Neodiprion lecontei: one gene and its partner. The protein of the gene in region 2 purifies or fractionates together with the protein of the main gene of each other region. This does not show direct contact. Links are inferred from orthologs where the notes say so. Each region holds a gene or a part of one and is shown on either strand. Other genes may lie near its edges.

What was found. Proteins that work in one complex are often made in the same cells at the same time.
Region 1: the proteins of probable prefoldin subunit 4 (region 2) and prefoldin subunit 1 purify together in Homo sapiens (affinity purification with mass spectrometry; 5 studies listed by BioGRID and IntAct, counting the BioPlex papers as one, with this or other methods). This does not show direct contact. The link is inferred for Neodiprion lecontei from reciprocal best matches to the Homo sapiens genes PFDN4 and PFDN1.

Annotation. Positions count from the first base shown.
Region 1 is NC_060261.1:40,149,700-40,152,615, reverse strand, and holds prefoldin subunit 1, read left to right. Parts: upstream 1-1,853; 5' UTR 1,854-1,870; coding exon 1,871-2,251; 3' UTR 2,252-2,416; downstream 2,417-2,916. Other genes in the region: GATOR complex protein WDR24, read right to left, coding at 1-115, 199-412, 540-762, 920-1,036, 1,142-1,238. UniProt on the Homo sapiens protein: Binds specifically to cytosolic chaperonin (c-CPN) and transfers target proteins to it. Binds to nascent polypeptide chain and promotes folding in an environment in which there are many competing pathways for nonnative proteins.
Region 2 is NC_060260.1:21,084,463-21,093,079, reverse strand, and holds probable prefoldin subunit 4, read left to right. Parts: upstream 1-2,084; 5' UTR 2,085-2,221; coding exon 2,222-2,260; intron 2,261-2,346; coding exon 2,347-2,451; intron 2,452-2,791; coding exon 2,792-2,908; intron 2,909-5,305; coding exon 5,306-5,458; 3' UTR 5,459-7,468; downstream 7,469-8,617. UniProt on the Homo sapiens protein: Binds specifically to cytosolic chaperonin (c-CPN) and transfers target proteins to it. Binds to nascent polypeptide chain and promotes folding in an environment in which there are many competing pathways for nonnative proteins.

The DNA.
Region 1 (2,916 bases), on a different chromosome or scaffold from region 2:
CCAAGGCGCAGCTTGCGATGTGATACTTTCTTTGAGGTCGCCATTTTATTCTACCCACAGATGCAATTGTATGGATTGTATATTCACATGTGGGTTTAGCTGATATGTCCCAAACCTGAAGTATACAAATTTTAATCTCTGTTCTTCTATATAAGTACTAAAAAAATCCCTGTAGTATATTCCCATAACCATCTATACCTTAATTGTTTTATCACGTGAGGCAGTAGCTAGCCACGAGGCTTCAGGGTGCCAATCACAAGCAAAAATTGGCCCACTGTGTGCTGTGAAATGCTGGAAGCATCGGTCGGGTTTCCTCAAGTCCCATTGCTGAACATGACCATTTTCCGAAACAGCTGCAAATGTGTATTGTTGATGCGGTGAAAACTGCACATCTCGCACAGATTCTGTGTTGCTATAAGAGTGAACAAATCAATGAATTTACAAGTAAATGAACAAGACACAGATTGACTCTTAACTTCACTGGAGTATAAACCTTTGCAAGAGCAATTTGGATAGTATTTCCATATGGCTCGCTATACCTGTAAAATGTTTTAGTAGCCTCCTTAATTCTGAGATCAAAACATTTCATAGTTCCGTCTTGAGAGCCTGATATTAACCACATAGGCTCAGTCATGTGAAAGCTCACTTTATTCACAGTTCTTTTATGATCAATAAACACGTGTTCCTGCTTTGACCGAGAAGGTCGATTCAGGTTCCATACCACCACAGCACCATTGGTGGCTGCGGTTGCCAATATGTGATCTAAAAAAGACATTTAATCATTCTTTTATAGCATGAATTATGAGGTGTATGCCAATCCAGGATTTTAATTAGAAAATAATACCGATAATTAAGGAAACAGAGGATTTTCCAAACCAAGTATTGCTGCATCACTAAAAATATTTCGTATATTATTTACCATCGATTAAATTCCAAGCAACATCATTGCATGAAAAATTCAGATTAAGATTCTTCCCAACTCTCAGATTGCAGACTTCTTCAAACTTGTCTTCAAGTAGGGCGAATATTTTGAAGACTAAGGGAGAAAATCGATAATAAATCTTTAATAAACCAGTAAATTGTATTGAAAATTAATAAAACAGCTTAGTCGTATGGAAGGATTTGAAAAAGGTTGTCCTACCATTGCGTCCAGCGATCACAACTTGAGTATTATCCTTATTTAGGGCTAAGGCATTTGCCGGTCCCTCCTGCGTAACGAATACCGTTTTTGATGTCATGTTAACAACAGTGAGCTCCAAATTTTATCAACAATTGTCTCGATTTCTTCACGCGGTATCCCCTAATTCAGGTTGGACTATACAACTATTATCAAACGTCAGGGTAATACCGCATTCTGTGAATTACACATTTTACAAACACGTGGTACGCCTGCTAGAAGTAAGATCACGAATTGTTTGATTGATTGTTTTCATACAATGAAATACGCACATCATTCGTCATTGTGACACACAGTATTTATGCGACAATATAAACGTTATAACCATATAGAAGTGATTTATGAATTCTTTCTCCCCGATCTTTATGATTTTACGACGAGCACATTCGCAGTAATTACAGTAGTGTCATTAAACTAAAAATGATTTTTGGCGAGTATAGTGTAATGCATCCTCATTGGTACAATTGACGGGTGGTAAAATGTTTATTTATTATTATTGTTCTTCAGAGAGTGTTTTTTAAAAAAATGGCCGTGTCATCAACGCCCCGTGATCGTAGCATCTATATATGTATTTCGAAGCCGTGATTACAGCATTTGTATAGTCGATCCTGGGTTTTCGTTCTTTGCGGTGTGCACTTTTCAGCGATTCTTGACATAACGTGGAGTTAGTAATTCGCAAGTAAAAACGAAAAAATGGCAAAAGCGCAAGACCAGGAGCTGAAAAAAGCGTTTTCCGAACTACAACAGAAGATAATTGATACGACACAGAAATTAAAGCTCGCAGACGTACAAATTGATTCGTTAAAACGAACAAAGCAGCATGCCGAGCTCACGGTTAAGGAGGTAACCTCACTTCCACCAAACACGAAAACCTACGAGAGTGTGGGTCGAATGTTCTTGCTAGACGACATCGCGAGCGTAAAAGAAGGGCTTGAGAAACGGATGAAAACGGCCGACGAGAAGATCAAAACTCTAGAAAACAATAAAGCGTTCTTGGAGCGTAGCTTAAAGGATAACGCAAATAACGTTAGAGAAATGGTCCAGCAACGACAAAGCAACGAATCCTCTGGTTGATACAGCAGTTTCACATCTTTACTTGCTTTTACTCTTCTGTCGAAGTTGTACCCTTATTCAAGCAATATCGCATCTATCAGTTGTAACTCTAATTTAACATCATTATTATTTGTGTGCTTTCGATAAATGTAATCCATAAAATAAACCTATCATGTTTACATATTACCTTCATTCGTTTTACCTTACGTAGTTACTGGTTATTTAATAATGTAGGGACGTTACTTATTTGTCCTGGTGACAGTTACTGTTGTGCATATCCTTTGTAAGAATGAGTAAGTCACCTCTATGGTGCAATAATTGCTTATCCTATTTAGCCAGACTTCATCTCTCAAATTATACAAATTTAAAATTTCCGAACTTTTTCCTAGTGACCACATGTGAGAATGATCATTAAAATGTTCTTATAATTAATAAGACATGGGGTATAATTGATTTCAGCAAATCATTTTACAATTATCATTAATTTATTCCAGCGACAGGAATGTTACATACAACAGACTGTCTTCCTTACGGCTAATTTTTTTTTTTGTTTTTTCCTTTTTAAATTTAATCCACTTAGTTATCTTAAACTGATTCCGTGAACCTCAACATTTTTTCTTCATTTAAACTACACTTAAAAATCTACATGTGCCAAAACTTGGCGCTTCAACTGATTTATTGTATTT
Region 2 (8,617 bases):
TTGATTACTGTCGTTATTCACCTGGAGTACAATAGCGATTGTTTATGAGACATAGTTGCTATTTGCTTGACATTATTAGAATCGCGCTGCTGCGAATATTCTTAGTTGTTTGTGTTATAACTATCATAACAGATTTAGGGTATTTAACAATTTGATAATTCATAGTCTTAGAGCAGGTTTACATGTGTGCTTTCGTATATAATTCTCTTCTGTAATTATTAATTCTTATATTGATATAAATCGGCTTAGAAGCTTCCAGAACGTTTCTCTTATGTTTGTCGGTTGCCTGTTATTGGGCGTTGCCACGTATGCATCTTTGAGTTTATTGCGAGTTGATTTACCTTCAATCGTTTCGTCGGTAAGTTTCCTAATGTGTTCTCTAGATGAAGCTCTGTATGGCTCCACATTGGGGATCTGTATTGCCTTCAAAACGTTGCGCGTGTTGCCTACAACACGGCGTTACGGAGAAGAGTATAGTTCATGCTGAATAATTAGTATTCACGGTTTTGAAGGTTTTGCAGTCTCTAGTTTTATGGATTATTGCAGCAGTGCTATCTTTACATCATAATGGTTATACATTTATCTATGTTTTTACAGTCTTCTATACTCCAGGCTATATGGTATAGCGTAAGTTGCTTATAGTATAGCTCTCAGCTCCGAATGCACAAATGGCATTGTCGAGTGCTATATAATAATTGGATGTAATCGTGTTAGTTAATTATGGTGTTAATATGATAGTGATATATAATAACGTATAATAATATTATAGCTCTTTGTAGTGCGAAGATCTCGTAACTTGGTTTTTAAGCTTTGGTTAGTGAATGTCATAGTTATTTCCATCTAGGGATATTCCAAATAGTTAGACAGTTGTTTTAATTCCTTATGGTTACAAGATTCTCGTACTTCGAGTTTGGTTAGTTGATAAAAGTAACATGCAGTAATAACAGTCGATAAAACATACGGACGTTTCGGTCGGATGTTACAGAAGGACTATAAACAGAGAGAAACCTCTATAAATACGGGTGTAACTCACAGATAGTTGCCTGCCGGCAGGGTCATGCGTGCACGCATGTGACGGTCACATCACAAACTTGCGACAGAATACTACCTGGGTATAAAAAAATTACCGAACAAAATTGTAACCATAATTTCATAACACAAGATTAGAGGGTAGAAAATGTCGTCAATTTACGGTAAAATTACGATATTTTTTCATTAATTTCACTGAGAATTTTAATACTAGTCCGTGTTCGTAAATTGGCTGACAGTACTGAAAATTCCTTAGGACAGAGTCAGAGCTATCCACGAACTTGGAAGCGCAAAGGAGATAAAAGATTGCTGACAGTACCAGTGTTCCTAACCGTCACATAATTATAGTAGATGTCACATAAATATGAACTTCGTACTATATAACATAGAACTTTCATTATGTGACGGAAATCTACTATAATTTAGAAATTTGTATAAAAAGAAGTTTTTTTTTGTAATACAAAAATTGGCGGGACAAAATTCTTTAATACTTTTCGAAAAAAAAAGATTTTTAATACTTTTCAAAAGAAACGTATTCAAATCTTTTCGCGCTAGGCAAAAAATTGTCAGCGCCATTCACCATAATGTGGTTTTTAATTTTAACCACATTATTGCGGAGGGCGCTGACATGCACGGTTCGGGCTCAGGCGCGTTGGTGTTGATTTGAGCGCCCCGTTTCCCGCTTCCCGCCAGTTCCTGCCGTCATTCCTAGTGTGTACAAAAATAATTCAAATAAGTACCTTCTGGTCATTCGTACAATTAAATGTAAGTACGCACGCGTATTGTAATGGATAGGGATAATATACTTATGAAAATAATATTCCGTGATTTTATTGCATTATTAACATTTTCAAAAAAGTACTATAATTTTTTGTTCGGTACTATAATGCTACGGCCCTGGTCACATAGCCCCCCACGGACGGGTTGGGAACACTGGACAGTACTGTCAGTCAATTTTCGAACACGGCCCTAGTGAACACTATATTTCAGGTACATACTTTGATTTGTTGGCGTTCAACCGCGCTCTACGCCACTGCGCTTCTATATGAACCCACCCTAACTATCCTATTCTAGCGGTTCTCCATTTACGGAGCTTGGCAAGGATCAGCGTTCCTAACCTTTATGCAAGATTGTGGTCCACTTGGACATACTTTTGATAACTTTAAAAACTGATTCTTCCCGGCCAAAAAATATGGCAGGTGGTAAAAACTCTCAGGGAGGATTCCAACCGGTTAGTATTAGACTTAGAAATTCCAACATTAGCTCACTCAACGTAGTTCATCCTATTATAACCTGACTTAAATTTTTAATTGCTAGGATTCTGATGTCCACATTACTTACGAGGATCAGCAAAAGATTAACAAATTCGCCAGGCACAACGCAAAGCTAGAAGATTACAAAGATGAATTAAAATCGAAGCAGGTATTTATATTTGTATATGGTTTCTAAACCAACAATAATATACCTGATTTTTGAGTGTTGTTAAAACTACTCATCCAAATGAAGCTTTATGAAGCTTGGCATAGCCAAGTTTGGGATTGGCCAGGAAGCTTTGGTATAAAAAATTCTTACTTTTACCAACTCGACTAACGTTTTAATCCCAAAAGTGAAACCGTAAAAAATATAGGATATTGCCATTGAGTCTACATCATGATAGTTTCCAACGAATATCTATAGGTGTTTGTCTTCGGTGATGAATGTTATGCATTATTTGGTCATGGCAGCATTCGAAAAACTCATCTCTTAAATTTTCGACTTTCAGAATGACATAAAAAATCTTGAAGATGCCTGCGATGAACTCTCCCTCTTTGATGACGATGTGAAAATACCGTACCTCATTGGAGAAGTATTTGTAGATCAGGATTTTGAAAAAACCCAGGTTATCCAACTTTATTATCACTAGTTCTTACAATTTAATTGGCAAATATGGATATACAGGGTGTTGAAAAAAGGTGGATACACCTGGATAGCACGAAAACGACGTAACTTAGAGATAAACTGATGATAGATTTCCGAATCTCGGGCCCAAACACTAATATTACCATGGGATTCCCAGTTTATCTCTAAGTTACTTCGTTTTCAGGCTATCCAGGTGTATCCAGAATTCTTTAGTATCGAAATTGACCCTACGTCACTAGGAAGGGGCTTATGACCCCAGCGATGGTTAATACGTATTCGGACGTAAAATTTCCCGCTGAATCCAAATTCGAACGAAAAAATTGGGTTTTCCATTTGAAATTTCAAAGCTGGGCCTCATAAGGCCCCCCTGGGCCCATCTGGTCCAAAAACTAATATTACCATTGGATTCCCAGGGAAAAATTATTCGGGAATCTATTATCAGTTTATCTCTAAGTTACGTCGTTTTCGTGCTATCCAGGTGTATCCACCTTTTTTAAATACCCTGTATAAAAAACATCAAGTTCAACCCATGTTTGAATATACCTCAGTGAATCTGATTATGTTAAGACTTTCTATTACACATTTTCAAAGTTTTATGAAAATTCTATAAAATTTCCAAACTGGTCCAGAGATAATTTACGTTATTTTGCTGAGATCATTGAATGGCATTGCTCCGATACTTGATATTAACCGTTTCAAATTAATTGTGAATAATTGAAACTTGAATGATCCATCCTTGCTATTATTCTGTTTACAATATGATAATACTTGTTAACTCGTAAGTGCTGGAAATAATTATATATCGAAATAAAATTACAAAATTGCAAAACCCATCCGCTTGCAAAACCTTGGAATGAGAGGACTTGGGTTGAAAACTGCAGCAAGTCGAGGAGTACCTGAGCCTCCAAAAAATCTAAGAGTTGTCACATTGCTCAGACACAGAATTAAAATGCTGAAGTTTGAACCCACTCTAAGTACATTTATGCCAGGTTTTCTCCAGCTGTGCTCCTTTATCATGCACATATTGGTATTTACAATGAACCTTTCAAAGTAGTTGCAGACGTATAATGATGGTTACTGGCCATTCATCCCTTATCCAACATAACCTAACAATAGCTTCTGGGTATATACCCTGCTGGGTGTGGCAGGATAGGTAGTGATTGTTATTACTATTACTATTACTACTATTCTTATCATATTGTTATAATTACAATGTAACTATTTGAACTGCAAGATCAAAATTTCTAGTATTTTCTAATTATCAAGTTGTTTTCTATACCAAATAGAATGAAGGTAAGGTGGATTATAATCGTACCTTTGACTAGGTAATGAAAATTTGTAATATATAATTGTGTGAAGCTGCCTCTAGCAATTAGAGGTGAAGGTAAAATACTCTAACGTTGATTAAAATAAGGCAGTGAAATTCAAGAGTCAATGCTTTACGATTCTCAAAAATAGGTAGCTAGTAGATGTATAGAATCTTATGCCTGAAATTGGACTGCATTATTCTAAGTATAACAAATTTAGTGTTTGCGGTAACTAGTTTCAAATTCATCCTAATTTCATTTGTAATAGATGGAGAGCCAGTGACAAAAAAAATCACGTTTTTTGACCATACATATTTTCTATCCTAATATATTCTTCAAACATAGTTTATACGGAATTTTGAAGTCTGGTTACCTTGTGGTGTAGTCTTTGGCTTGGAAGTGGGCCTAAAACGGGTAAAAAAAAGAGATGCAAGAATGTGAAATGACCAAGGCTGAACTTGTTTTTTTCTAATAGCTAATGATGTTTTATTTACAAAATTAATAATGCTAGACACTTGGGTAAGGACCAAAGTACTGCCTGACTCAAACGGCAACTTGTTGTTGTTAAATGATTCGTTTATTTTCAACTTTCGAGTAGAAATGGCAGTAACTACACTTGTAGAAAATTCAATTTTCCACAACTTTGATTGCAAAAATTTTTCGTCTACAATCGATATTTTCTAACTTGAATCTGAAAAAAGGGAGTCAAATTGGATTTTGTTGTGACATCACGAATAGTGAATTCCACGAATTTACTTGTGAGTAGTAAAACAGGAGGGGGTGATGGGGGTGAAAACTGACACGTAAACAAGCCAAGATGACGAGTACAACAAATTGAGGAAATTGTTACTATAATAGTGGATCCAGAATTAGGCCCACTTTTTGCTGGTAAGCAGGCTGTTGTTCCATCTCCTTCCATCTTACTTCTTGCATTTGAACATCACCACGAATCCGCCATGTATCGACTAGTTTCAAAGAACCATCTTATTATTTGATGGGTCTTCATACTGCCAATATATGTTACATTTATTTATCACAACTAACACGTCTATATGTTTTGTTTGTGTCAGAAATCATTGGAGGAAGCAAAAGCAAAGAAGCAAGCAGAAATTGCAGAGCTGGAAAGTAAATCCTCAGAACTCAAGGTAGTAATGAGCGATTTGAAAGCACAACTCTACGCTAAGTTTGGCACACACATCAACTTGGAAGCGGAAGATGAATAGTTTATATAATGCAATTATAATTAAGGTCTAATTTTTAGTTATTCAAGCAGTTGAAGATATGGTTTCAATTATTTTCATACGTACTGCTTATTAATAACCCTCACCGTTATCATTGTTCTCAGTACTCATCAATTTTTACAATTTCAAAAATAAAAAAATTTCACTGCTGCATAAACAATTGTCACAGTGAAGGAAACTAGGTAATATCAAAATGTAGTTTTTCAGTAATTAGCTCTGTACTGAAATATATTAATTGAACACTATTTCTGGCATATAAACATATAAGTTAATTGTATTCATAAGGTAAAGATACGTAATCTTTATTAAATTCCATTTGTTTTAGAAGTATTAGTTTGGCTATTTATTTGATATTGATTATTCTTTAATAGAAGCTTGTATCTATACGAACAACACAATAAACATCTGCTTACACTATCAACTAGCAGTAAGTATAGCAAGGCCATAATAATAAAATCAAAGTCTTTCTCGAGTACACCAAGTAGTCACATGGTAGACGTACCATGGCAAGTCGGTGAAAGTATCCGTTACTCTAGTGTGTTAGATATGGATCACAAACTATTGCCAGAATTGAAATATTTGAACAAATTTACCTAAGAATCGCTGATTGACATGAACAGTTTTTCGTATGGTTGCTGAACTATAGATTCGATGTCAAGAATAAAATTTCAAATATAATAGCCTGTGAAAAAATTTTCTAATAAGCCCAGATATAACTAGATATGAAATGTCCATATCAGGCCTGATATGAAAATTAGGCAGATCTGAACATAGACGGACAGATCAAACTACATCAGTTTATATATAGCCTGTTATAAAAATTGGCCAGATCTGGTCTTACATGGATCGATTAGATTATATATGGTTATATCTAAGTATTTCTCATACTCATGGAACACAGACATACACCTTCCACAACAATATCACGGAATACAATACACTTAAAACTTCAATTTAGTACAATAAATTATACAGATCTGCGATACATTTATAACTAAAATGTAGAAATACCTGAGAAGTTTTTGGAAACTTCTATATATACTAAATTTGAAATATTTTATCATCTACGAGAAAGGCTGTCATGTTAAGATTGTGAATAACCCGTTAAAAAACAATTTTTCTGTATAACTGCGTTTAAAAAATGGATTTGATTTTTAAAAATCGAAATTATAGAGACTAGAAAAAAATTTCAATTGAATTTTTTGTATTCTTTATTAATTGGAACATGGAAAAACAGTTTCTTTTCAACAAGGATGACTATATGATCTGACATGGACATATTCTAATGGACATATATAATCTGATATTGTTATACATTTCTATATTAGAAAATATTTCACCAAAATATACAAAATCATATGCAGACATATCCGGCTGTATGTATTAAAACTTGATTTTTCATTGATATTCTCTGATATGGACATATATTGAAATATCAGCTCATATATGAATATGACCATATCAGAAGACTTGCTGCCGAGATAAAAAAAGCTATTGTAGCCATATGTAGCCGGATATAGCTGTAAATGCTTAGATTTCATTACCTGATATAGCCTTATGTAACCTGATACGACCATATATAGATTGATATGTCAATAAGGAAATCAAGTTTTAATACATGCAGCCTGATATGGTCAGATATGTTCGCATATGATTATGTATATTCCGGTAAAATATTTTCTGATATAACATTACATATAAATTTACATCACGTCATATTAAGCTATATCAGACTACATATGGGCTTATCAGAAAATTTTGTCATGGGAGTACAAATCGCCAAATGTTGAAGGGTGTCTACGAAACTCCTTACTCGAGGATTTTCAAAGTTGCAAGATTCCGTATCCTATATCAGAAATGGGAAATTCAAAGCGGCAAACTTTATACCTAATCGTAAGTAACACACATTCAACCCATATTATGATTATTGCCGACAGAAAATTAAGTCAACTAATTTGTACCCAATAAATAGCTTGAATTTGTATAAATAAATTAACTTTACGGCACCCCGAGGCACATTGCTAACAGCTACCCATACTCTGTAAATGGGGGCTTGCCATACCAACTCACAAATGTTTCACCCTTTTGCGGATTCCGACGATCCGACCTTACATGAGACTGCATCATGAGGCTTCGGTATTTATTTGGGAAATAACAGATCGAAGATTGGAAATATCATATCGATGTAAAACGGCGTTCGAACTTGCGATCGGAAGTAGCTGCTAATGACAATCGATACACAAGTTTAACTTGTGAAGAATATATTAATTTCAGAATAATATGGTCAAAGACGTCGAAACTAACGTTAAATCGGAAACGTTTTTCCAAACTGGTTATGCATTACAGTGACCAGTGTTATTTCTGTATGTGGAAAAAATTATCTTGAGATCGTGCCCATAAAAGAATGACAAATATCGGTTTTTAATTTTTTTAACAATGACGCACTTTCAGAAAAAATCATAGAAAATTACACAAAACCAGACATTCAAGCTGTCGAAAAGAGAAGGTGGTCACTAGCTAGAAACCACCGGAAATCAGCAATCTAAATGTTCAAGAATTTTTAGACGCTCGAGTTTGCTACTGAAAAACCTGAAAAAAATCCTTGACATGTGTACAGATGTCTGCTAGATTTGTAATTTTCTTCATAATTTTCGGAGTTAAAATGGCGGATTTAACGCAAAAAGACTGAAAATCGCGTTTTTTTACGATAACTTCGTACGAAATGGAGTTAGAAGGCTAAAATTTGGTATGGGTCAATCATTCTCCAATAGAAAACAGAAAGTCACTTGCAGAATCCATTCCGAGCGGGGGCATTTTTGGTACGCGGCTATACCCTCTAGGCCTCTAGACTAAAATACACCTTTTAAACTGTAGCATGTGTCAAGGGTTTGATTATATAGGTATTGACTTTATATTGTTTTTGTAGGTTTGTGTAATAGTCTTTTATTTTATTTCCAGTCCAATTTTATCAGTAAAATAGTGTTTCGTAGAATTTTCTACCTCTCCGCTACCTATGTTTTTAATTCTTTCTTAAACACCACCTTACTCTTCTTACTAATATCTATTAGTATAATATGGTTCCATAATTCAGCTGCTATTTATATTTCTTGTTGTATTTTGGCAGTCTGGATCAACTTGATT